Drosophila melanogaster: one gene and its partners. The protein of the gene in region 1 interacts with the protein of each later gene in a pairwise test. Each region holds a gene or a part of one and is shown in the gene's direction. Other genes may lie near its edges.

Evidence for each region.
Region 2: the proteins of indra (region 1) and Aef1 interact in a two-hybrid assay, tested with the Drosophila melanogaster proteins (one large-scale study listed by BioGRID).
Region 3: the proteins of indra (region 1) and cad interact in a two-hybrid assay, tested with the Drosophila melanogaster proteins (one large-scale study listed by BioGRID).
Region 4: the proteins of indra (region 1) and mri interact in a two-hybrid assay, tested with the Drosophila melanogaster proteins (one large-scale study listed by BioGRID).

Annotation. Positions count from the first base shown.
Region 1 is NT_037436.4:1,338,615-1,344,354, reverse strand, and holds indra (indra), read left to right. Parts: upstream 1-1,951; 5' UTR 1,952-1,963; coding exon 1,964-1,983; exon of another isoform or gene 1,984-2,285; coding exon 2,286-2,427; intron 2,428-2,493; coding exon 2,494-4,533; 3' UTR 4,534-4,895; downstream 4,896-5,740. Other genes in the region: Ptp61F (protein tyrosine phosphatase 61F), read left to right, coding at 1-27; Hmbs (hydroxymethylbilane synthase), read right to left, coding at 5,185-5,740. UniProt on the Drosophila melanogaster protein: Required for rDNA copy number maintenance and non-random sister chromatid segregation (NRSS) following unequal sister chromatid exchange. Binds ribosomal DNA (rDNA) preferentially binding to intergenic spacers (IGS) regions on both X and Y chromosomes.
Region 2 is NT_037436.4:21,431,505-21,439,577, forward strand, and holds Aef1 (adult enhancer factor 1), read left to right. Parts: upstream 1-1,923; 5' UTR 1,924-2,197; intron 2,198-2,368; exon of another isoform or gene 2,369-2,543; intron 2,544-3,520; 5' UTR 3,521-3,715; coding exon 3,716-4,505; intron 4,506-4,568; coding exon 4,569-4,705; coding exon of another isoform or gene 4,706-5,143; 3' UTR 5,144-7,135; downstream 7,136-8,073. Other genes in the region: CG33288 (uncharacterized protein), read left to right, coding at 1-1,300, 1,362-1,489; CG5664 (uncharacterized protein), read right to left, coding at 7,415-8,073. UniProt on the Drosophila melanogaster protein: Transcriptional repressor that binds specifically to fat body-specific enhancers, namely the adult ADH enhancer (AAE) and the enhancer that controls yolk protein gene expression.
Region 3 is NT_033779.5:20,768,844-20,773,844, forward strand, and holds the start of cad (caudal), read left to right. Parts: upstream 1-1,887; 5' UTR 1,888-2,264; coding exon 2,265-3,066; intron 3,067-5,001. UniProt on the Drosophila melanogaster protein: Caudal (cad) is one of a number of transcription factors controlling segmentation of the embryo.
Region 4 is NT_037436.4:197,870-202,652, forward strand, and holds mri (mrityu), read left to right. Parts: upstream 1-2,304; 5' UTR 2,305-2,602; coding exon 2,603-3,191; intron 3,192-3,301; coding exon 3,302-3,499; intron 3,500-3,571; coding exon 3,572-3,889; intron 3,890-3,947; coding exon 3,948-4,162; 3' UTR 4,163-4,283; downstream 4,284-4,783. Other genes in the region: rno (rhinoceros), read right to left, coding at 11-205, 267-718; Gk1 (glycerol kinase 1), read right to left, coding at 4,345-4,560, 4,620-4,783.

The DNA of each region.
Region 1 (5,740 bases):
GCCTACGCATACACGAAGCTAGGTTAAGTGCCCCGTAGCCACTAAGTAGTCGTAGATCAGTAGTAGCAATAGCTGTATGACGTATTTAGTTGCCGTAGGAGACCGATTCCTCCCCTGATACCCGATTTCCGACTTCCGATCCCCACCTGCTCGTCCGCCTGACCCGGCATCTAATGCGGGCAACGAATCAAGGACGACGTGCAACGGATCGGAAAGGATCAGAGATCGGACGGAATCGCATCGCAACGCCATGCAATCGCACACGAATTGCGGATGGCGGATTGATTGAGCTGAACGAACGATACAAGATGCATAAATATTAGGGAATTTTTTATATACGAAATACAAGAAGGAAAACAAAAGAAACAAATGAAAGAAAAGAAGCAACTAAACTAAACTAACGAAAATCGGGTAGAAATCACGTCAAATGTAGATTTTGCGCAATAGACTGACATTTTAGATCAAATTTATTTTCTACACTCTAAAAATGGATTGATAACCGACCAGATGCCCCAAACGAGCCATACCAAATGCAAAGCTCACCCTACTTGCTCGCTATGCTTAAAATATTAAGAATATCATAACTACCAATGTTTCAAGCACCCGACAACCACCCACTACACGCTTCACTTGTTGTTGTACAGCAATTTCTTATAGCATACGACCTATGTATATTTATTTATGAAGATTATGAGAAACCACCACTTGTTGTAGTACATGGCAAAATATAAAGTGCAGCAATGTGCCAAAAAGAACCGAATCGGAGAATTGTACGAAGTGTCCTAAACGACTCTTAATTTTACTTTGCCTCCCGCCTACCACTACCACTAACTTTGAATTGTTGTGTTTAAAATTAAAGACCCTGTCCCCCCTTAAACGAGCACTTTATTAATGAATCGAAATTCAGCGCCATTAAAGCAATAACTTACGGTTAAACAAAACAGCTCGATGTACACCTATATCTCGTTTAACGCTTTTAAGGAGTGTTATAATCAAAATTGTTCATTTCGCACACTCGCCCCCGATCGATCTGAAATCAAAATAAAGTGATTCTTTTTTCAAATTGTGACCGTGGACTAGTTGCACGTGGCTAGTTGCAAATCAAATTAAACTAAAATCGGTTTACTAAGTCGCTAAGCGAAGTATAGGTGTATGATTTAATTATAATCCAGGTTTTGCCATAGCGAAACCATTTTGTATTAGAACGAGAGAACGAAGAAGGCGAAAGACTATTCAATGGTTTTTCCAGTAGAGTAAGTGTGCAGTCCCAATCCCAAGAAACATATTTATATAAACGTGTAGCGTGAGAGGACGCAAATATTTTTTATATGTGTAACCCACACTTTAACAAAATTCAAGTAACCACCCCCGAAAGCGAGGCACTATGAATCCATATGAAATCGGATGGGCCCAGGAGGATAACAAATAAAGGAAATACATATTTATATTAAGTATATTTAACAGAAACAACATGAACAATACCTAGTAATGCCTAGTTAACTAAACGTCGGCTAAGTACACCAACCGTACACTGAAACAAATCCAACACAACACAGTACTATACAATATTATGCCTATGAGAGAAAGAGAAAGGAGGAGCAGAGAAAGTATTCAAATAAAGCTATACGTTTAAGACATGAAAACTGCGAACCGCTTGATCCTGGCGCATTCCCTTGCCATGTCCTTGTCATTCATAACATTTTTCATCTCTTTGTTTGCAGGCGCGGGAACCGACTCAAAAAATCCAAGACAAAGTAACGGCACAGCCCATCCAGGTCAGCACCAACACAAAGAAACAAACTAAACATATCATTTTGCATTACTGTAGCTTCTAATGCCTAAATAAACTATTTTTAAATTGGAAACCAAGTTCAGAGTTATCGATTATATATCGACACGCAAAGCTGTTGCATAACGCGACGTGAGCATTAACAGAATGTTAATGTAACTTAGTGTGACCGGAATGCGCAATATACTGCTTTGGTAATATTTTTTAAAGTTGCTACTGCCATTATAGGTAGTTTAAAAACTGTTTTCTACACTCTTTCTAAATTTGATGCAAAAATTATTAAGATTAAGATTCGTTCTGCGAACGTTCTGCAGTTGCTTCTTTTAACGTGCAACCATAATATATAAGCACACTATGTGGTATATTTTGGTGACTCGGTCTGGCAGCACTGCAGTTGATTAACATAGATAGCAGTGTTTGGTAACTGTAGCCCCGCAAAAAAAAAAACGTGCGCACGTTGTTTGATTTCTGTTTTTGTTTTTGCTGGAAAACTTAGTGAAAATATGACCAAGGTGCAAAAAGAGGTGCGATGCGACCATTGCGGCACAAGCCAAGGGTCCAAGAGTGTTTTTTCAGGTCAGAAGGTGTTCCTGGGCAGGAAAATAACAGACGTACTGGAGACCATCACCCACAGAAGCGTGAGTTGGAAATGGCGGCATTCTGATTTCCCTTCTCGTCATCTAAATCATCCCATCCCATTTCAGATCCCATCATCCTTGCCCATCAAGATATGCTTCGTCTGCACCTCCACATTCATGTCCAGCGCGGCACTAATCGAGAAGGTCCGCGAGACGGTGGACAGGGTACAGGAGCAGCCCGCCAAGAAGACTAAGGTAGCGGAAATAGAGGAGCCATCGACACAGGAAAGCGATAAGAAGGCGGTTAAGGTGCCAAAAAAGAACACCACCCTCCGTCAGCGCAGCAAGTCCATAGCAGCTTTCCCGCCAAGCTTTGTGAATGGAGCTAATACTAATACAGAAATCGAGATCATTAGTGCTTCGCCCAAGAAACTCGATAAGACCCCTAAAAAGCAGATATCTCGACTCTTCGAGGATAATCTTAACGATTCGGTTAAGCTGACGCCCGCCAAAGAGGTGTCGTCTACTAAAAAGGCTTTCCTTAATCTCTTTGGCAACGGCGGCAACGATGCCATCGAAGTACTGACCGAGAGCGAGGAAGAGGAGGACTCGGATAAAGGTCCTATCACCATTAACACAAATAACTTTCAGTGTCCAGAGTGCGAATTTCACGCAAAGTTTCCCAAACCGTACAAGGAGCATCTGCAGAAGGAGCACGGTCTTCAAAGACCACGCATATACCCCTGTACCTTGTGTATTAAGACTTTTGGAGTGCTTAAGACTTTGAAAAATCATTTAAGGGACACTCACTCACGCACTTTTGAAAGCGAGGCTAAGACTAAGGCGAAGGAAAGCAAGGAAAAAGAGGCTAAGTCAGGGGCCAAGAATAAAATTGACGCAAAGGCAAAGGAGACCAATGCTGTGAGTCAAAGGAAGAAGCCAAAAGAAAAAAAGTCCAAAGAGAAAAAGACAGAGATCAAATGTAATGTTGAAACCAAAGTGGTTGACGAAATCGACGACCAAGTGAACAACAAAAAGGGCACAGATAGTGAGGACGCAGACCAGACCCAGGCTACCAAAATCGCCTCCTTTAAAGCGCTAAATGAGTCATTAATGAAGAAAAGGATGTTAGAGAACGTGATCGACTCGGAATATACATTTGCCATCAATGGATCCAGCGCCTCCACTCCCAGGGCGGATTCGAATAATTTTCAGTGCGAGATCTGCGACTGTGAGCTGATGACCGCCAAGCAGATGCAGGAGCACATGAAGACCGTCCACAGCATCGACAAGCCAAAGGTTTTCAAGTGCCACGTCTGCGAGAAGAGTTTGGCTACCAAACAGTCGCTGAAAACGCACATGACTCTACATGCCGACGGTGCTGAAGCGCCGAACTCCAGCAAGCGAAAGATTCTGCAGGACGAGGATGAGGACGTAGACATTCTGGGTACGACTCAGATTGAAAACACGGCCGAGAAGGTTGAAGGACCTAAGAAATCACAACAAAGCCCTACTAAAGCCGCAAAGTTCACCAACCGAAAGATTCTGCAAGAAGAGGATGAGGTTGTGGAAATTGTGGACGCTTTTAAGACTGACAACACCGCGGAGGATGATGAAGGACCCGCAGAAGAAAAGATTATACGATCCAGGAACAACATTCAGCACCAGGTCGATGGAGGCATGATTGCACCTCGGTCGCCAGCTAAAAAGACAAAGAAGACCAGTCACGTAGATCTGTCTGTGTCCACAACCAATGGCAATTCGCCTGCAAAGTCAGAAAAACGAAAAAAACAAGACAAATCTGAGGACACGCTCCCCTCATCTGATGTAGACATAGTGGAAGAAATCAACTACAACGTGCGGCCGCACAAAAAGGCTCGCCTGGAGTCCATTGGTGACTCAACAGCCGACGAGTCGACCCTCAGCTGCGACCGGTGCGGGAAGTTCGTCAAATCGCGTCAACGCTTGGACTCGCACATGGAGAAAAAGCACGCCGCCAAACTACAGTGCACCCTATGCAAGGAAGTCTACCAGAACCAAATGGATTACGTGGCTCACTTCTCGAACTGTGGTTCCGAAGGTGGACTTCCATGCGGCGTAGCCAATTGCAAGAAGGTCTTCACGGAGGCCAACTTCCTATCCTCGCACCTGCGCAAGCGCCACTAGTTGCACTAGACTCCCTTTTATTTTTGTTTTTCATTTCATTCTCTTGACCAATGTAGTTTTACGTTAGCTTATTGCTATGTTAAGTATAATTCTTTGAATTTTCAATGGCTAACTTTGAAAGGGTCTATATAAAGTTGATAAAAGTCGATGAAAACTGCAATTTATAACAAGGTTACTTCATACATTTTTAACTATTATTAAGTTCAATTCAAAAGATAAGTTTAATTTGTATATTAAGACTTTATTATAACCGCATTGGTTACACCACTTGTACTCACCAAGAGTATATAAATTAGCTTGAATGTAATAAACATATTTGTACTGAGCGATGAACTGTTAATAAAAAATGGCAAAAAGCTACGAAATTGCTTGTTTCAATCAGTGGAGAGAAAAAATGACACAATATGAGTTCACTTATACATTTATTTGTCATATTCCCGAAACAAAAACAAAACTAAAATAACGTTTACGCGGAAACCAACCATTAACGATGCATTCGCCGGGGAGAGCAGAAGGATTGAATACAATACCGATGTTAAATCAGGGGAAGCATGAGTTCTCCACGGGAGTTCAACAACGAGGCGGAAATGAAAAACATTTTGTCTAGTTACACTTTTCTACTTAATGTAAACGATGATATTGATGACGGGCTCAAGACGACGCCACTTTGCCGTGAATCTCTGCCTGGGCCACCTTCATCACGTCGAGGGCGCCGCGCTTGATCAGGTCCTCCGCCAGCGTCTTGCCCAGCTGGTTGGCCTTCTCGTAGATGCCCCGACTGTGACAGGCGTGCTGGTAGAGACCGCAGAACAGGTTTTCCACATCCTCAATGAGCACCGAGTGCTGCGGCGTCGGCTGCTCCTCGTCGGCGTAGTCGAACATTTGGACCGTTTTCTGCAGGAACGGGCACTTGGCTGTGGCTGCGTTTCCGTTGTCCTTAGCCGGCGCCTCAAGACCGCTGCCCTGATGCATGGCCGCAAAGGGACACTTGGAGGAAGTTGCAACATTATCCACTTCATCGCCAGCGCTGCTGGCATTACTGGCTCTGCTGCTCGGTGGCGTGGGCAAAATAGAAGCTGATGCTCCTGCCACACCGCCAGTCACTGGACACTTTCCAGCTTGGGCAAAGGATACCTTCACATCGTTGTTAACGTACGGACATTCGCCCATGAAGTCCTGTCCCACGGGCATCTGTAGTGGACAGTGA
Region 2 (8,073 bases), about 20 Mb from region 1:
CACGATATGGAATTAGTTGATCCCAAGCCGAAAGTGCCTGGCAGCCAGGAAACACTTTTACGCCCACGCACGCCTTATCCCGAGAGCAGTAATTCTAGCACACCGCAGACAATAAAAAAGACGCCTATACGAAACTTTTCATACGAGTCTGCCATGGACCATGACCATCTGGAGAGGACTTCTCCCGAACTGGTCTCTAGTCTGGACACAGTGGAGGAAGTACCTACGGCCAAAATTCACGTGAACACACCAACACCGCCCACGGAAGACGATGAGCACCTGGCCGTGGAAATAACCACAACGAAGGACTCAACGGACAGCAGCAAAGTGATCAACGAAATACGGTTCATAAACGACGGAGTGGATGTGACGTCCAGGGTAGAGGAACAAATGCCAGATACACCACTGGAGAGCTCCGTGGAGGATCTGGAATCAGATGGAGAGCAAAAAATGCAGCGTGGTGAGGAGCAAGTTGACAAAATTGTGACGAGCTCTGAGGAGGCGGTGTCCAAAGTCGGCGAAGACGCGATAGATGTCATGGACTCCACTCGTAACTCGATTCAAACAGCGGTAAAAAATGCAGCAAATGGAGCTCGTGATGCCATGGAAGCTGTAGGCGAGCGAATGGCTACTGGAGCTCGAGGAGCCGTGGATACCGTGGGAGGAGCAGTAGGAGCGGCGGGTAAAGGTGCCCATCGGTTGGCCAGCGATGCAATGCACGCAGTGGAACAAGTAGGAAGTAGTGCAATGCATGCAGTGGAGCAGGCGGGCAGTAATGCGGTCAAAGCAGCCTCGGAAACAAAAGATTCGATGGGCAGGGCTATGGATTCGGTGACCAGCAAGATCTCTACTGAAGTACTGGGCGCCAAGGAAAACATCTCCTCATTGTTTCAGATAAAAGCGGCGAGGGAGGCTGATCCACAGACCACGCCATGTTCCACACCTCGCGGCGAGGATGACTTGTCCTTCAAAGAGGGGGCACCAAAGACCACCACAACGTTGGGTTCCAACGAGGAGGATGAACGAACAACGGCCTCTGTAAACTCAAACCACAATTCTGCAGGACATGGCAATGGTAATGGCAACATCTTCGAGCCAAGCACTACCTTTGAAGACCCTCTAGATGCAGTGGTGGAGCGCAGTAAGAAGGCGATGCAGGATGACATTCGGGCCATGCAACTGAGGGCAAATTCCCATATTCAAGCTGTGGCCCAGCAGAAGGAGGAAGATGCTAAGGGATTCGTGAAGCAGGTGATGGACAGGCTCTCGTGCCGTAACGAAAAAGCGGTCAGGATCGAAGGTACCTTTCAGTATAGTCCTTCAGTATATACTTACCTAAATTCTGCTTACCTTCCAAATAGATGAACTGCGTCCGCCGGCTGGAAGTCACAACAAAAACACAAACAAAGTTAACAGCGAGCTGAGTTTAACCAATGGGCAGGCACATGGTGATCAGTCGCAGGCTTCGCGGGTCTGCACGATTTTATAAAACTTGCACCTGCACTTTTCTGAGCAATTGCATTTGGTCTTTAAGTACAATTTAATAAAAAATAATGCAAACGAAATTCCTATACAAAAGTTCTGCACCGGGCAGTGTGACCGTACTGTGGCGGGAGGAAAACCTCTCAAAAACGAAAGAAAACTTACATATTCCTATGTGAATGACTTCAGTGGAACTAGCTCATTTAGCATAGAGATGGCAATTCGATATTCACGAGAAGTCACATTAGAAAATGATTTTATATTAATATGGTGGGAAAAAAAATAATTATAAAGATGTGCTGGCCTAAATAAATCTGAGAATTTTCCCAAATTTGATCTCTTATACCAACTTTCCCATTGAGTTCGGGGCAGTCATCGTGATTCCTTCACACTCGTGATCAGTAACAGGTCCCCCATAGCTATCGCCCATCCCCAATTGGCACTAGTTCATTCGCGTCTATTTTGTACGCGAAACAGTAAAAAAAAGAAAAGAAATATTTGTACTATTTTTCTAACGTTTATACGCTTTTTATAAATGAAGAACCAGCCACAGATAATGCTGTGAGGACCCGATTCTGATAGGCGAGAGCAATACGCGAACACCCTCCGAAAGGCCCATATCCCCCAAAAAACCGAATCGAGTGCGAAAAATGATGTAAAACGGGGGAAATCTAAACCTGAAAGGCCCCACACAGCACAGCCACAAAATGGAAAGGTAGGTCAATGTGTGGGCGCCCGAAAAGAGTTCAAGTGTGTCACTCAGTATACCCAATTCCGTCTGGAATCATTTGGCAAAAATAGCGTTTATAGACGTGTGAAAAACAATGGACATTTTCGAGCGGAGAGCTCCAAAATTAAAAGTATCCTAACCTCAAAAGAGCTTTTACACAGTACGTGTACGTGTGTGCGCTAGTGATGTCCATACGTGTGTGCGACTGAAAGTGGTTGTGACTTTTAGCTGAAGAAGGGAGCGCGAGGGGCGATCTAGAGGCAACGTGTTAGTGGAAAAACTGCTTTTGAAAAAAGGGGAAAATATCCCCCAAAAAGCCCGCCCAAAAAAGGTCAGTTCGGAATCCTGTCGATCTCGCCTCCGTTGAGATTGTTATCCAATTGGTAAAGTTATCACTAAGTTCTTAAGTTGCCAGAAAAACACATGTAATTTGGCGAGAAAGTAACACGCTGTCAATTCAACACAAAAAGAGAGATACCTGAGTGCTCCATGTGTGTGCGTGTTGTGTTGGCCTCAGTGTCTATCTTGTCTGGTGGGTGAGCAGGGGGCGGGTCAGGTAACTTGTCCGGCGAACGTAAAAACCAGCGTTCAAAAAATATATTAAAAGTTACATGCATGCAAGCAGCGCGCGTTTTATTTTGTTTCAAAATGCATAATCAATCGTATGTTTAATAATTTATGCTCTTTGACGTATATTCGAAGTTTTCATACCATCGAAGTCATAAAAATCTTTTAAGGATTCGGTCATCCGTTATGGATCTTATTTAAAAATTACTCATCACAGTTTGTTTGTGAGTTTAATATTAGTATGGCTCTTTAATAAATGTTATAAAGCCCGAAAATATTTACTCTCGCAAGAATATTGCTTTGAACGCTTAATACGTTAATCATTATACCTGAATGATTTAAAACATAGTTTCACACCGTAAAGTAAGCCAGTTACCTCCTTACAAACATGTATGGATATGTAAGCCGTGTAGTTCCAAATACTTATTTATGTAGAGAGGCTTGCCTAAAGGAGACGAAGGAGTAATATGCTAGTTAGGACACAAAATGGGCTTCAATGCGTTTCACTAATAAGGGCACACAAAGAACCATAGGAACCATATGGAAAGGGGGCTTCAAGGGGAGGAAGTGGAGCTGGAGCCGGGAGCCCAGCTATCAAAGTGTGTCAGCTATTGAATAATTTAGATTTATAATTTCGCAGTTAGGTATTTCGTATGTTTTGGGAATTCCTCACATATTTTTGCATACCAAAAAGCCAAGCCGCCGACTCAACTAATCCCAATCTCCCTTCTCCAAACACAGGCACTAGCAGCAACAACATCAGAGAAGCGCCCAAGATGAGCATGTCGTGGCATTTTTGAAGCATCGATCTTAGTTTGTTAGCCAGCTTTCTGTTCAAGTCACCGAGGTACCGCAGTCTCCCTCCACTATTCCACCAGATTCAAATCCAGCTTCGAATCCCGAATCCAGACTACCTAATCCCAGCAAGAGCAGTCCATGATGCATATCAAAAGCCTGCCCCATGCCCATGCCGCTGCTACGGCGATGAGCAGTAACTGCGACATTGTCATAGTGGCCGCCCAGCCCCAAACCACCATAGCAAACAATAATAACAATGAGACGGTCACCCAGGCCACGCATCCGGCTCACATGGCGGCGGTTCAACAGCAGCAGCAACAACAACAGCAACAGCAGCAGCAACATCATCAGCAGCAGCAACAGCAGTCGAGCGGACCACCCTCTGTGCCGCCGCCACCCACGGAACTCCCCTTGCCCTTCCAGATGCACTTAAGCGGGATCTCGGCGGAGGCGCATAGTGCCGCCCAAGCAGCGGCTATGGCAGCTGCCCAAGCTGCAGCAGCCCAAGCTGCTGCGGCGGAACAACAGCAACCGCCGCCACCAACTTCACATCTGACGCACCTGACCACGCATAGTCCGACAACGATCCACAGTGAGCATTACCTGGCCAATGGACATAGCGAGCATCCCGGAGAGGGCAACGCTGCCGTTGGCGTAGGGGGAGCTGTCCGCGAGCCGGAGAAACCTTTCCACTGCACCGTCTGCGATCGTCGCTTTCGACAGCTAAGCACACTGACCAACCATGTAAAGATCCATACTGGCGAGAAGCCCTACAAATGCAACGTTTGTGATAAGACCTTCCGTCAATCGTCGACGCTGACGAACCATCTGAAGATCCATACGGGCGAGAAGCCTTATAACTGCAACTTTTGTCCCAAGCATTTTCGACAACTGAGCACGCTGGCCAACCATGTGAAGATCCACACGGGTGAGTGATGAAGTGTGCTACCATACAATTTTGACCGAAACTGATTTGTGTCTTATTCTTTAGGTGAAAAGCCTTTTGAGTGTGTCATCTGCAAGAAGCAGTTCCGACAGTCCAGCACGCTCAACAACCACATAAAAATACACGTCATGGACAAAGTCTACGTTCCTGTTAAGATCAAAACAGAGGAGGATGAGGGGTGACTAGGACGAATGCCGTTGGCGGCGCACCACCATCAGCAGCAGCAACACCAGCACCACCATCAACAGCAGCAGCATCAGCACCACCCGCCGCCTCCGTCCCAGCAGCAGCAGCAGCATATCGATCAGCGTGGAGTCACCATAACCACGTTGCCCTCCGCCACGACAGTGGCCCAACATCACCAGCAGCATCAGCACATTCAGGATGGCTCGCCGCACCATCATTTTAATGTGGCCGCTCTAGGGGACTTATCCAGCGCTATGCAATTGGGCGCTGTGACGGCGGACGGGAGCTTTGTGACCATGGGCGGTGTTGTGGTGGGTCGCATCCAGCACACACGAGAGGAACTGCAGCAGCTTGGAGTGATCAAGGTGGAGTCACCATCGAATGGTGGCACAGCCACGACGTCAGCGACGGCGGAAACGCAACGCGAGGGATGAGTCGATGAGCTGCTCCTCGAGTACATGCTCAAGGAGGAGAATGCGGATGAAGAGGATGAACAGGAGCATGAGTCGGAAGTGGATGCGGATGTAGTGGAAATTCAGGAGCAGAAAGAGGAGCAGCGATCGAGCCAGAAGTGAGCCATGTTTGGTGTGTACGCTTACGTTGTTGTTAGTTGTTTAATTGTAGCGAACATTGTTGTTGTTGTTAAGGTTTAAATGTGTGACTAAGAACTTACCAAGATGATTGTATAGCAAACGCTTCAAAAGTAGGTAAACGAAAGGCGCCGACACCAGCACCCAGAGCTCCCAAAAAAATAACACAAACCGTAAACAAAAACAGAAACAAAAATACTAAAATAATAGTAAAGCTAAACTAAAAACCAGATGAAAGACCTTTGCAGAGAGTTGTCTCTATAGCAGCGCACCCCATCTCACATTCACAACCCTCTCAGCCCCGGAAATAGATTAAACCCCTCTCTACTCACTTATAAAATAACCTAACCCTAACTAGAGTGAAAATAGTTTGCTAATAGCAAGAGCAAACTAAACCCAAAAGGCAAAAAGCATTACGTGTACGAAGAACTTAATTAAAATATTTCCCAAAGTGCAACCCGTTTCAGATTGTAAATTGTTGACCCGACTCACTTTTAAGTTGTTTAATTTAGCATTTAAAGCTTAAGAAAAATTGTTGTACAACTCAAAGTTGGTGACGTTTTTCGCCATCTTGCAAGGGCGTGTTTTAGTCTGGGCTAACACAAATACAATTTGTTTATAAAATCAATAGCTTAATTATTTAACTTCGTAAACTTGTCAGCAAAACTTAAAAAAATATCCTGAACAGAAAACGGCAAAGAAAAATATTCTAATAGTGTTAAGTGGTCGAAACTATCTAATTAGCTCTTAGTCCCTAGAGAGCCATAGTTTTTAAATCAGCGTTTTGTTAATTTTAATTGATTAGTCTTAGTAGTTTTAATTTCAGCATTGGCATAATTTGGAAACACAAAAGCTGTCACGCTAGCCTTCGTTTAAATATTAGTTAATGAAGTAAACACAAAGTAACGCTAATTAATTCATAACTAATTACGATTATGAGATAGTAAAGCAACAAGTTCTGTACAAAGCCCAACTCCAATTTGTATGTATAAAGCGAAAGCGAAAGAGTTTAACTAAATTGTAAACGAAAACCTTTTTAAAAGAGAAAATAATATTTTCTAAAAATACAACATGTGACTTTTTATGTTAGCCCTTTAATTTATGTATGTTACCCTTGGTTTCCTCACATCCCGACTGTCCTTTGTTTCAAACGCCGGTCGCCTTTAAATACCTTTAAAAACTGCAGCAAGGGTCAAACCGAAAAGACTCCTGTATCAAGTTCCTATAGAATTCAAAGCGCAACAAACACGGATGTCCCCAAATGTATACGAATCAATTGCAAGCCGGGAAGTGGAGACACATTCAAAGAAACCTAGCCTATATGGAATGAATATTAAATAAATGTTGATAAATGTGTAGTGTTAAACAAATTAAAGACAAGACAGCAGAAACAAAAAACCGAAATCCCAACCTAGTAGAGCAATGATAAGAGCAACGCTTGAATCCGTGCTATGTTTTTCAAGGCCCTGAATGCAGATCCTCGCCAGGATCTAAGATCCCTAGAGAATTTGAAAGGTCGCTCTAAAATGAATGCTTAATATTTGATGCAGATCGGATTCTGCTCTTTGTAACATCTGAGCTCTGCACCCAGCTTTTCTAACCCTCCCCAGCGTATGCATATACTTAATATAAAAATGACGTAGTGAGATTAGCATTTAAGCGCCTACTTTAATGATAGTTGAGTGTGTAAAATGTAAACTGCAAAGAATTTAGACATACAATGAACAAAGACAAGACACGTTAGGCAAATCGAGATGGCAGAAGGATGAGGAACTGCAAAAAAACCAACAAGCAAAAGGCTTAAAAACAAATCGCGATAATATTATGTAATTATACACATATATATTTATTAATGTATGTATGTACATGCGCAGTAGCTGTATTTATATGTAAATGTGTACGTAATTGTGTATTTAGTTACAGCATAAATATATATTTGCAATGGAGAAATACAGAAACGGAATTTATGACAAACGGTAACGAATCAAATGCATTCTTATTTGAAACCATTTAGATAAATACTAATTAACGGGCTTAAAATAATTAAGTTTGAACTTTCGGTATGAAATTCCTTAAATTTAATGGAGCCTTAGATATATTTTCGTATTTGGGCCCTCATATGCCTCCCAATAAGGAGGAAGACGCAGAGTCTACTGGAGACATGGACTCTTCATAGCTCAGAAAGTTGTTCAGATAGGTTAACCAGTCCGACACATCGACCTCCTTGTAAACTTCGTTTTGAAGGAGTTGTCGCAAAACTCTCATTTGTCTCACATCCTCGCCATAGCGCACACACATCTTGGCCATATTGATACTGGCCACCGGCAGGTTCACCTTTTCCCGACCTGTAATTACTTTGGTGCTCATGCGCTCCTTCCAGGTGTGTACCTCCTCCTCCAACGCATCGAGCCTGAACACCTTCGGCGCCTCGCGCACAACTCTTCCCACAGGACTGATCCTCGCAGTCAACGGCTGCACGAGCTCCTTACTCATTAGGTACTTCCAAAAGCCTCCAAGATTTAACCACTTGTCATAGTCTTTTAAGGCGCTAAGGAGTAATGCTAGGTAATCCTCACGCGACAACTGCTCGTCATCGTCATCCTCAATCTCACTTTTAAGATTGTACTTTACCCATTGACGCGCTCTAAATTCTCCGACCACCTTTTCCGGTCCAAAATGAGTTTTTTTGGGAAAGAAAAAGAGCTTCAAAAAGTGGTCTGTGAACTCGAAGCGGAGATATGGGGGGTCCAACTGCCGAATAGCCATTAGGTAGG
Region 3 (5,001 bases), on another chromosome or scaffold:
GAAAGCGATCGCGTTCGCGTAATCATAAAATCACCTTTTGTGCGCGGGCCTTCGATTGTTTTACAACATGTTTTGTCTTACGGACATTAAGGGGTTTTTTGTTTGCAAACGAACCCGAACCAGTTTTTGGTAGTTCAGCGTTAATAAGTGAGTATTGAGTACCTCCCTCGCGAGGCCAACTGCCCGGTGTGCTTCTGTTCCCGTGTTCCGCCGAGTCCTTTTCGGGGATATGTCGGTTATCCTCCATTGTGTCAGCTGCATTCACTTCTAATTATTTGACGCGACATTTGCAGTTTGCAGTTTTACGATCCCATACCGAGCATCGAACATCGCGGCAATCAATGAATTTATTTTTTACAGATTTAGAGAGGATTTCTGGAATCTCGGGATTACTCAATCGGCGCGAGCTTAGCGTTCTTTTTAGGGATTACAATTGGGAGTAGCTGTGTGGTATCGAAATTCTTGCGAAAAATTAATAAGAATGGTGTTAGCTGACCTGGAATTTGTGAGGCAGGAATATGTTTAACCAACTATACCTTATTCCAATGAATATATTATATTCCTTTGTGTAAGGAAAAATTATAGTCAGATAGTTTGAAAATAATTGGACAATGATTTCACATTCTAATCTTAGGGTATATTACATGTATAGTTTTATAATTAATGCCACAATATGAATATTTGGAATTTGTTATATTGCCAATATATTATAATAATTAGGCGCGTTTGCAATCTTATGATCACACGCGTGTCTGTCATAAATTATAAATAAATCAATTTATTTATTATTATTCAAATTGCGTTCAATTATTAGTTTTTATGTTAGTGAGGAGGTTTTGTAAATGGGTTTATTGATATTATTAATTCTTTACCGTATTGGGCCAATTTTGCCTTTTGCTTCACGAAATGGGTAACACTTTTGCTAAAGTCGTTATGAAATAATAATCGATATTTCAATTCCACCCATTTGTTAAACTTCCAGCGAAGTTTGATCGAAAATAAGTTCTCATGGGAATTTAAATTGATTAGTCATATTTTTGGTAATGAAGCTGGAAACTTTCGATTTACATTAAATGATAGATCCGTCAAAAGATCACCTCATTTTTAGTACCATCTTTTTTTTTTACATAAGCCCCTTGTATCACATCTTGCACCTTATCAATGCCAGACTTCTTCCGCTATATTTGAGTTCCCTGCGAATTTTTATCGCTGCTTACATGTCAATTATGGCATTAGCTTTACAACTAGAACCGAACAATAGTGCTTTGACAATATCGAGGCGCCCATATAAACAGCGATTGCTTGGCAAACACCAAAAGTCTGGACATCAAGTGTGTGCAGATCAAACACGGTATATGGATATGGAGAATAAAATCCGGAGGATAAAACATTGATTATTCCCCAGATAGAGGTACATATATCGCGACTATTACGACCGTGGCAACATAATTTTACAGCCACTAATTGCATAATACACACGCATCTCCGCAATTACTTAATTAGCCAACGGCAATTGCAATTAAAGTACATACAAATCGAAAGCGGGCCATAAAGGAAAAGGGGTTTTCTTGGCCAAGATATTACGACAAACTGCATACCTGGCTCAATGGGGCGTGGCCACCTGCCTGCCAGCCATCGCAGACCGGTGCGAAAGAGACGGAGCACCAGACAGACGGAGATAGCGGTAGTCAAGCACTCAGGCCATCTTGAATTTCGACCGAGCAACGGAAATGAGGGTTAAAAACGCCCAAGTAAAGGCACTGCTCGTGCGCTAGAAAGAGACAACTAGTGAGTGCCGACTGCGGTGGTTGTTTTTTTTGAGCCTCTCTGCCTGTTTATCTGATTTTCCACTGCTTTGAGTTTTTTATCAGTCGAGTCTTGCTCTACGTTTCAGTACGTGTTCGACCTGCATACTGAGTTGACGTCGCCACGCACGGAATAACATTTCAAATTAGTAGATTAGCCCTGCAAAACAAAAATCCATCTCGTGAGTGAGTGCTGAAAAATAGCGTTTCGAAATATTATCGATATCTCGGTCGTATGTTACTGTGCTCCCAAAAAACACATCACCAGCCAGTGATAACTGTAAAGATTGACAAAGCAAAATATATCCATTATAACCCAAACTGAAACTCCAGAAAATGTGCAACTAAAACATATTGGCCATCAAAGTGATAAGACTTAGAGATTAACGCCGGATTATTGGACACCGGACCGAGCACTGGGACTATCTTCGGAGAAAGCGCACCTAATCTAACCTCAAAATGGTTTCGCACTACTACAACACACTGCCCTACACACAAAAGCACAGTGCCGCCAATTTGGCCTATGCCTCAGCGGCGGGCCAGCCATGGAACTGGACGCCCAACTACCACCACACGCCGCCGAACCACCAGTTCCTGGGCGATGTGGACTCCTCGCATGCCGCCCACCACGCGGCCGCTGCCCACCAGATGTACTACAACTCCCATCACATGTTCCACTCGGCGGCGGCGGCCTCTGCCGGGGAGTGGCACTCACCCGCCTCGAGCACGGCGGATAACTTCGTTCAGAATGTGCCCACGTCGGCCCACCAGCTGATGCAGCAGCACCACCATCATCACGCCCATGCCTCCAGCAGTTCCGCCAGTTCCGGGAGCAGCAGTAGCGGTGGTGCACCGGGTGCGCCCCAGCTCAACGAGACCAACAGCAGCATCGGCGTCGGAGGAGCAGGCGGTGGCGGTGGTGTTGGCGGGGCCACCGATGGAGGACCAGGTTCCGCACCACCCAACCATCAGCAGCACATCGCCGAAGGTCTGCCGTCGCCACCGATTACCGTTTCGGGCTCGGAAATCTCTAGCCCGGGGGCGCCGACTTCTGCCTCGTCGCCGCATCATCACTTGGCACACCATTTGAGTGCCGTCGCCAACAACAACAACAACAACAACAACAACAACAATAGCCCATCCACCCATAACAACAACAACAATAACAATTCGGTGAGCAACAACAACAGGACATCGCCATCGAAGCCGCCATACTTCGACTGGATGAAGAAGCCCGCCTATCCAGCACAACCACAACCAGGTGAGTCCTTAGAGACCCAAGAATATATTAAATACAGATTTAGTGTTTTATGAGGGGGTATGATCGGTTACTTCATAACTTTATGAGTAAGGCTAATAACCTGCTTTTACTGCAAAGTTAAGGTCTATGCTTGCCATTGTCACTAGCTTGTATGAGTTTTTTTTTTTTAATCGAATGTGAAATAAGATCTTACTCACCGAAGGCTTTTAGTCCGAAAGACCTCGATTACCCGAATTTTTGTGTATTCAGCTACTTAGTCATTCCACTGACCTTCGATTCCGCGTACCCTGCGCTTGGGTTTCTCCCGCATCCGCCTGGCTACATTCCGAACCCGAAGATTCCATATTGCCCAGCACATAATGCACTGCATTGTCTTCCCGCCAAGCTCGTGCTGTTCGCGCTTTTCCCTGTCCATCTCTCACGGTACATATATGGGCTTTTATAAGAATCCGTTTGCCTGGCGCGCATCCAAGTCCAAATGGCCAATTAGCTCATAAAAATCAAATTCTGTTCAAGCTTCACTTTTATGATATTCAGTTGGGGTCGCGAGATCCCCGATCCGACGCCTTGATTTATGGCCACCCCGTGTTCACCGTCCACATGAGTGTTTCTGTTTGTTTGCTCCACTCTGTCTCCGTCTCGATTCCGATTCCATTGACTAATTTTGTATCGTAAATCAACTTAACAACTATAAGCATTTGAAAATGGTTTGATCAACTTACCAATAACCAGACAGCATTTGATGGAAAGTCCATCAGAGTAGAGGACTGGACTGTAAAGGCTTAGGAAAGTTAGGGAGTTCGGAACCTATTTCACAGCAATTAGCATTATGTGGAGTGTCTAATTGAAGGTTTCACTATTTTCTAAAAATAGTGAATATTCTGAATAATAAGTGAATAATACCCAATTCGACTCTCTTCTCTCAGTTCATGCAAATTTTCTGTGATTATGTGGATTTCTTGCGTTTTGTTTGCTGTGTTTTCCTACACCTCTGGAAAAACAAGCAAAGGCAATTCAGATGGCAGTGCAGCGATCTCAAACATGAGAAGGAATAAACCACTCACACATTTGTTCACGATTTATGACCCGGGCGCATGTCAAGAAGGGGAAAATGAAGACGACGATATCGACGATATCGACAATAACGCCGATATCCATTAAGCCCATAAAATCTGTTGGCATGCAATTAGCGTTTATGGCCGCTAATCCAGCTGATCAAGCCGACAAGGCGACTCAAGTTTGCCTTATTTATTATTATTCAAAACCCCCTTTAGCCTCCGCTGTCTGAATGTCACCTTTCTGACGCGCGACTGATTGTAATTCTTGCCGTATTTCATTTGCCTAAAAAGCACAAATATTTAAGTAAGAATAAATATTATATAAAAATAAAGTTAGATATTATTTACAGCCACTATGAGCGATCAGCAGCACCTTTTGCCAACACTTTGCTCAGGTATTATCTCTCTGGCATTTTCTTTGAATTGATGGTCTCGCCAAATCGAGTAATAATTAGTAATCTGCCTTTTCCAACAGAAGAGAAGAGGGGGGCTGTGACTAACACTTCGTGATTTTTGATAGAATTATAAAAGGTCCATTTTCCGTTGTCTGCGCGGCATGTGGCGGCATGTGGCGGCAGGGCACGTCGAAGGCCCACTTCAGCTTTCGGGGTGTGGCAATAAAACGGCAACCACGATTGTCGCTGGATGCAGATGCCGTGTACTTTTGTTTCAATGGCTGGTGGTTCGGGCGGGTTTTTCGATTAGATTAGCTAGCGTGGGGAATCAAATAAACGCCCGCCCTGTCAATAAGTCCTGAAAACCCCACCCAACCCATGGGGCTGCGAGTTCTATTTTCTGTTGCTTCAATAATGTGCCGAGTGATATGGAAACGTGGCCACAAAAAAAAAAAAAAAAAGAGTTCTTTGCGTGTTATCTA
Region 4 (4,783 bases), 1.1 Mb from region 1:
ATTAACTTACAGCTTAAAGTCGTGCGCTGGAGACACAACAGGCTCGGGCAGAACATAGACGCATGGCTCAGGAAGGGAGTCTGGGTTAACGGGCACTTGCACACCCTTTTCCCATTCCTGCTTCCATGGGTCTGTTACTATTAAATACTCGTAGTTGGCCAACGGCTCAGAGTCTGGCAATTTCATTGCGCTAATGAGATCCTTGCTGCAATTAAAATTTGAATATTATTGAATCGTTTCTAATTGGTTTGCTGGTCTGTTAATACCGGTAAAGTTCAGCTGGAGCTTCCGTTGAGCTTCGATTGTAGATGCTCGACATCTTGATGTCCGCTACAGACCGCGCCTGCCAGGAGCTACTAGAACTCGCCCCCTGCGACTTGCACTTGCTTGCCGACTTTGCCAGTTTCGTTGACTTCGATTTGCTAGTGCTGGTAGCGCCTGCCGCGGCTCTTCCTTGTCCTCCTCCCCCCGCTTCCGCCCCTGGCTCTTCATGTTTGCTTTTGCACAAAGGCAGAACTGGCACACGCTCCGATCCTGTAGCTGGACCCGATCCAGTCACTTCAGCTACTGCTGCCGTAGTGGCTCCATTAGGTGGCCTACCTTTGCGCCGCTTGGTGGGCGGCGGCTGCGGCTCAACATCCTTGCGCTGATGCTGTTGCGGCGGCGGATGGTGCGACTGGTGATGCTGCTGATTACCGCGCTTACCTCTTTGTGACATTTTTCATTGGTGTTGATTGGATATTTGTGTGTTTTTGCTTCGATTGGTACCTTGTCCCTTGTGTCTTGTGCTTGTTAGAGAACGGGTTCTTTGCTGCAAGACCTAGAAGTAAGAAGGCAAAAGCAGCTTCAATACGTATTTCACGCGATTTATTTACTAACCAAATTTACTTACTACATGCTTAAGGCCACAGTTGGCGACACCACACCGGCTGCTGCTGCTGCGCTCTCCTGGATGTGGTGCGGTCGTGATTCTTGGTGGTCCACCCTTTGTGCCCCGTGGACATGGACGCCGCTGCTGCCCCAGCCCTAATATCCAGTAGCGACGCCACTTTGCAGTCCTGTGTGCTCCGCACTTCTCCACGGGCGAGTTAGTCCACTTCCACTGCCACCTTCCGCTTGCTGCCTTTTGTTATTGTTCGTTGTTTATCCACAGACTTTTGCAAGTTTTTCTTTGGCGTTTGGCTCACTGGTTTGGATTCTCGACGAGCATTCGCTAGTCTGGTGGGAGAGAAGGCATATGTTTGTGGGTTATTCGCTTATATTAGGAGCGTTCCCAGTAAGTGTCCACATTTTCTATGCTTTCCGAAAATACACAAAAAATATAGAAAAACGTTCAAGCTGCCAATAGGTGACTGGTGCAAAACCCACAGGCGCCCTCCCGCTCGCACATAGCACGCTCGTTTAAGGGCGCGCTTACTATGCGCGTGAGTGCAAGCAGGAGGCAAGCAGGTGGCGTTCGTGTTGCATCCGCCAGCTTATACACGGCACCCAGCATACCCCTCCGACACTTCACTACTCAGAAGCAATCAAAGTTTTTGCACTTTTTTTTACACTTTTATTATAACAACTTATTTGTTATTGCTATCCGCAAACCTAGACAGCCACTCTGCTCGTCGCTAGCGCTTCCGCACGCGACACGCCCACTCAGGGCGCCACTTTCGCACTGCCCATTCTTGGGGGAGTTGGGATTTTGTTATATATTTTACATTTGGGTTTTTTGCCGCCGCAGACACACACGCCAAGCACTTGTTACTGACCGAAGACCGCTCACAGTCTTCGCATTTCGTGAAGCGTCCGTATCAAACTCACGTTTCCCAAAATCGCATTTGCGTTCGCAGGAATTACAATTCTTTTGATTATTTATTTTATTTTTGAGCAAAAATTATTTTTCTCAGATCGCCATGATGAACGGTTGCAAATTTAAACTATCGAGTGCATTTAGTCGGTGGTCGGTATCGATACACAGCTTGGGTATATACAGAGTTGCATTCGGCCCAACGCTGTATTTTGTTTTAACAACATTTAATTAATTTCCACAGAATTTTCATATTAATTTGTATTTGAAAAAAAAAGTTATTTCCATTAAGTTAAGATATGTTAATTAAGAATTTTCTTATTATTACCTCTAAATATTATAGATTTTCTTAACTTAATAGAAGTTAATAATTATGTAACAAACAATGTCGAAATGATGAAATTACAATCTTTTTATTTTTTTAGAGAGGAATTTTTTATTCGTTAAAAAAAACCCGATAAGCTGAAAACAAACATCGCGATTGAAGATAAATATCGGTTAAAAATATGTTATTGTGATTACAGAGGAAAACTATCGACTGAGCGCACCCAGGAGCCCATCTCCAGCACCAACAAGAAAAAATATGTATATTTATAACTATATGTAAAAAGGAAAAAGTCGCGTCGCACAAAGGTAACGTGAATACTATTTAATCGGACCTCTGATGCAGCGATAAGCAGGCTTTTTTTCAACGGAGCCTCGCTAATTTGACCGCCCTCTGCCAGATTGTCTTTGTCTCTCTCGAAAAGTCGGTGGAACGGTGTTGTACTGGAATATTTGAAGAGTGGCTCATCAAACGCAACAAACATGTCAAACACTCCAAGTCTGAACAGTAGTAGTAGCAATATCAGTAGCAAGGCGCCCCTTGCCCAGAAGCAGGACACGTACAGTAGCGACAGCAGCGAGGAAGTTCTCGAAACAGCCGAGGAGCGGAGGAGGCGCATCCTGAAGGAGCGCAGCCGGCTGAACCGTCCGCAGCACAATATGTCAGGCGGAGGTGCTGTGCCCAAGCACGACATAAAATCCCCTTGCGGAGCATCTCCCAGCTGCCAGGCAACTGGTTCCGGAATGGGCCGCCTGCCGCTCCCTCCCGAAAGGATCACCATGCTGGTGGACGGTGTGCGCTTCACGGTGGAGCAATCACTGCTTACAGCACATCCCACCACAATGCTTGGCACGATGTTCGGCTCCGGCTTCCAGTTCGCTCATACCAACGAGCGCGGCGAGTACGACGTTGCCGACGGCATTTCGCACTTAGTGTTCAGAGCCATTCTGGAGTACTACAAAAGCGGTGTTATCCGCTGCCCGCCCACTGTTTCGGTACCGGAACTAAAAGAAGCCTGTGATTATCTGCTCATTCCCTTCGACGCAACCACGGTGCGCTGCCAGAACCTAAGTGAGTATAACGCGAACTATTCCTGCCAGGGCGAACCTTAGTTGTGGCCACCTCTGCTTGTTTTCCGTCTCTTTCCTTGTAACATGCCCTCTGTTATGTTTGACATAAAGGAGGCCTTCTCCACGAGCTTAGCAACGAAGGAGCGCGACAACAATTTGAACTCTTTCTTGAGGACCTAATTCTGCCCCTCATGGTGGCCTCGGCGCAGCGCGGGGATCGAGAGTGTCACGTTGTGGTGCTCCTTGAAGACGATATGGTCGAGTGGGATGAAGAGTTTCCGCCTCAGATGGGCGAGGAGTATTGTCAGAGTGAGTGTATTTAAAAAATGTGTTTGCATTAGTATCACGGAAGTGGAAGCAACACTAACATTTCTAACGCAGCCGTGCACAGCACTGCCATGCACCGATTCTTCAAGTACATCGAGAACCGCGATGTGGCCAAACAGGTGATGAAGGATCGCGGTCTGAAGAAGATACGCTGTGGCATAGAGGGATACCCCACCCACAAAGAGAAGATCCGAAGGCGTCCCGGTGGACGGGCTGAAGTCATCTACAGCTATGTGCAGCGACCTTTCATCCACATGTCCTGGGAGAAGGAGGAAGCAAAGAGTCGCCATGTTGATTTCCAATGTGTAAAATCCAAGTCTGTAACGAATCTAGCGGAAGCAAATGCAGATCCGCCACTGGAATTGGACGCAAGTGCGTAAGGCTCGAAACGGAGAGTAACAGCTCCCTTAAAGCCCAAATTCGTTTTCAGGTGGAAATCCGATTCCCCCTATAGCAGTGGCTAATCCGCATCCCAATAACGCTGAGCTCGCTGCCGGTATGGCCGTCGCACCCGCAGCTATAGGCGTGGCTGGTCCAGCAGTCGTGGTAGCCGTCGACGAGGCGGCCGGGGGCGTTGTAATGCTCAACGAGTTGGACCAGGCAGCGATCGCTGTTGCCGTCGGAATAGTTGATGAAAATATGTAGATCAACTGACCGGCTGGTAGTCGGAACACACTGCCAGAGCATCACAGCGCACAGAAAAACACTTTACGTTTTTAATTAACATTTTTATATGTATATGTAATAAATGGAAATTTCGAATACGAAAAACCAAGCAATTGATTTACGAATAGAAGAACATGAACGTTACCAGACATTAGCTGTGATCACGCTCCGTCAAAGGCCTCCCGTTCGCCCTGTGGAAGCGTCGAAGTCTCCCAGTTCAGTGAACGATCGATAGCCATTTTCCACTTTTGGTAGCGCAGGTTGCGATCGGTGGCACTGATCGATGGCTTTATGGCTTCTCGGGGGCCAGATTTAGAGAGTGGAGCCTCCATTTGGTATCGGTTTTCAACGGCTTTGTAGGCTGCCATTGCAGCTCCCTAAAGCATTTTTGAAGCATTATTGAAGCTGCATTTACATCACAAGTTAAAGTACTAACCAGCGCTGTTGTCTCTGCGATCTTCGCCCGGAGTACTTGAATTCCTACTAGGTCGGATTGAAGCTGCAGGAACAGATTATTCACAGTCATGCCCCCGTCTACCATAAGCTTGGCCAGTGGAATCTTGCAGTCCTTGTGCATCGAATCGAGAATATCACGGACCT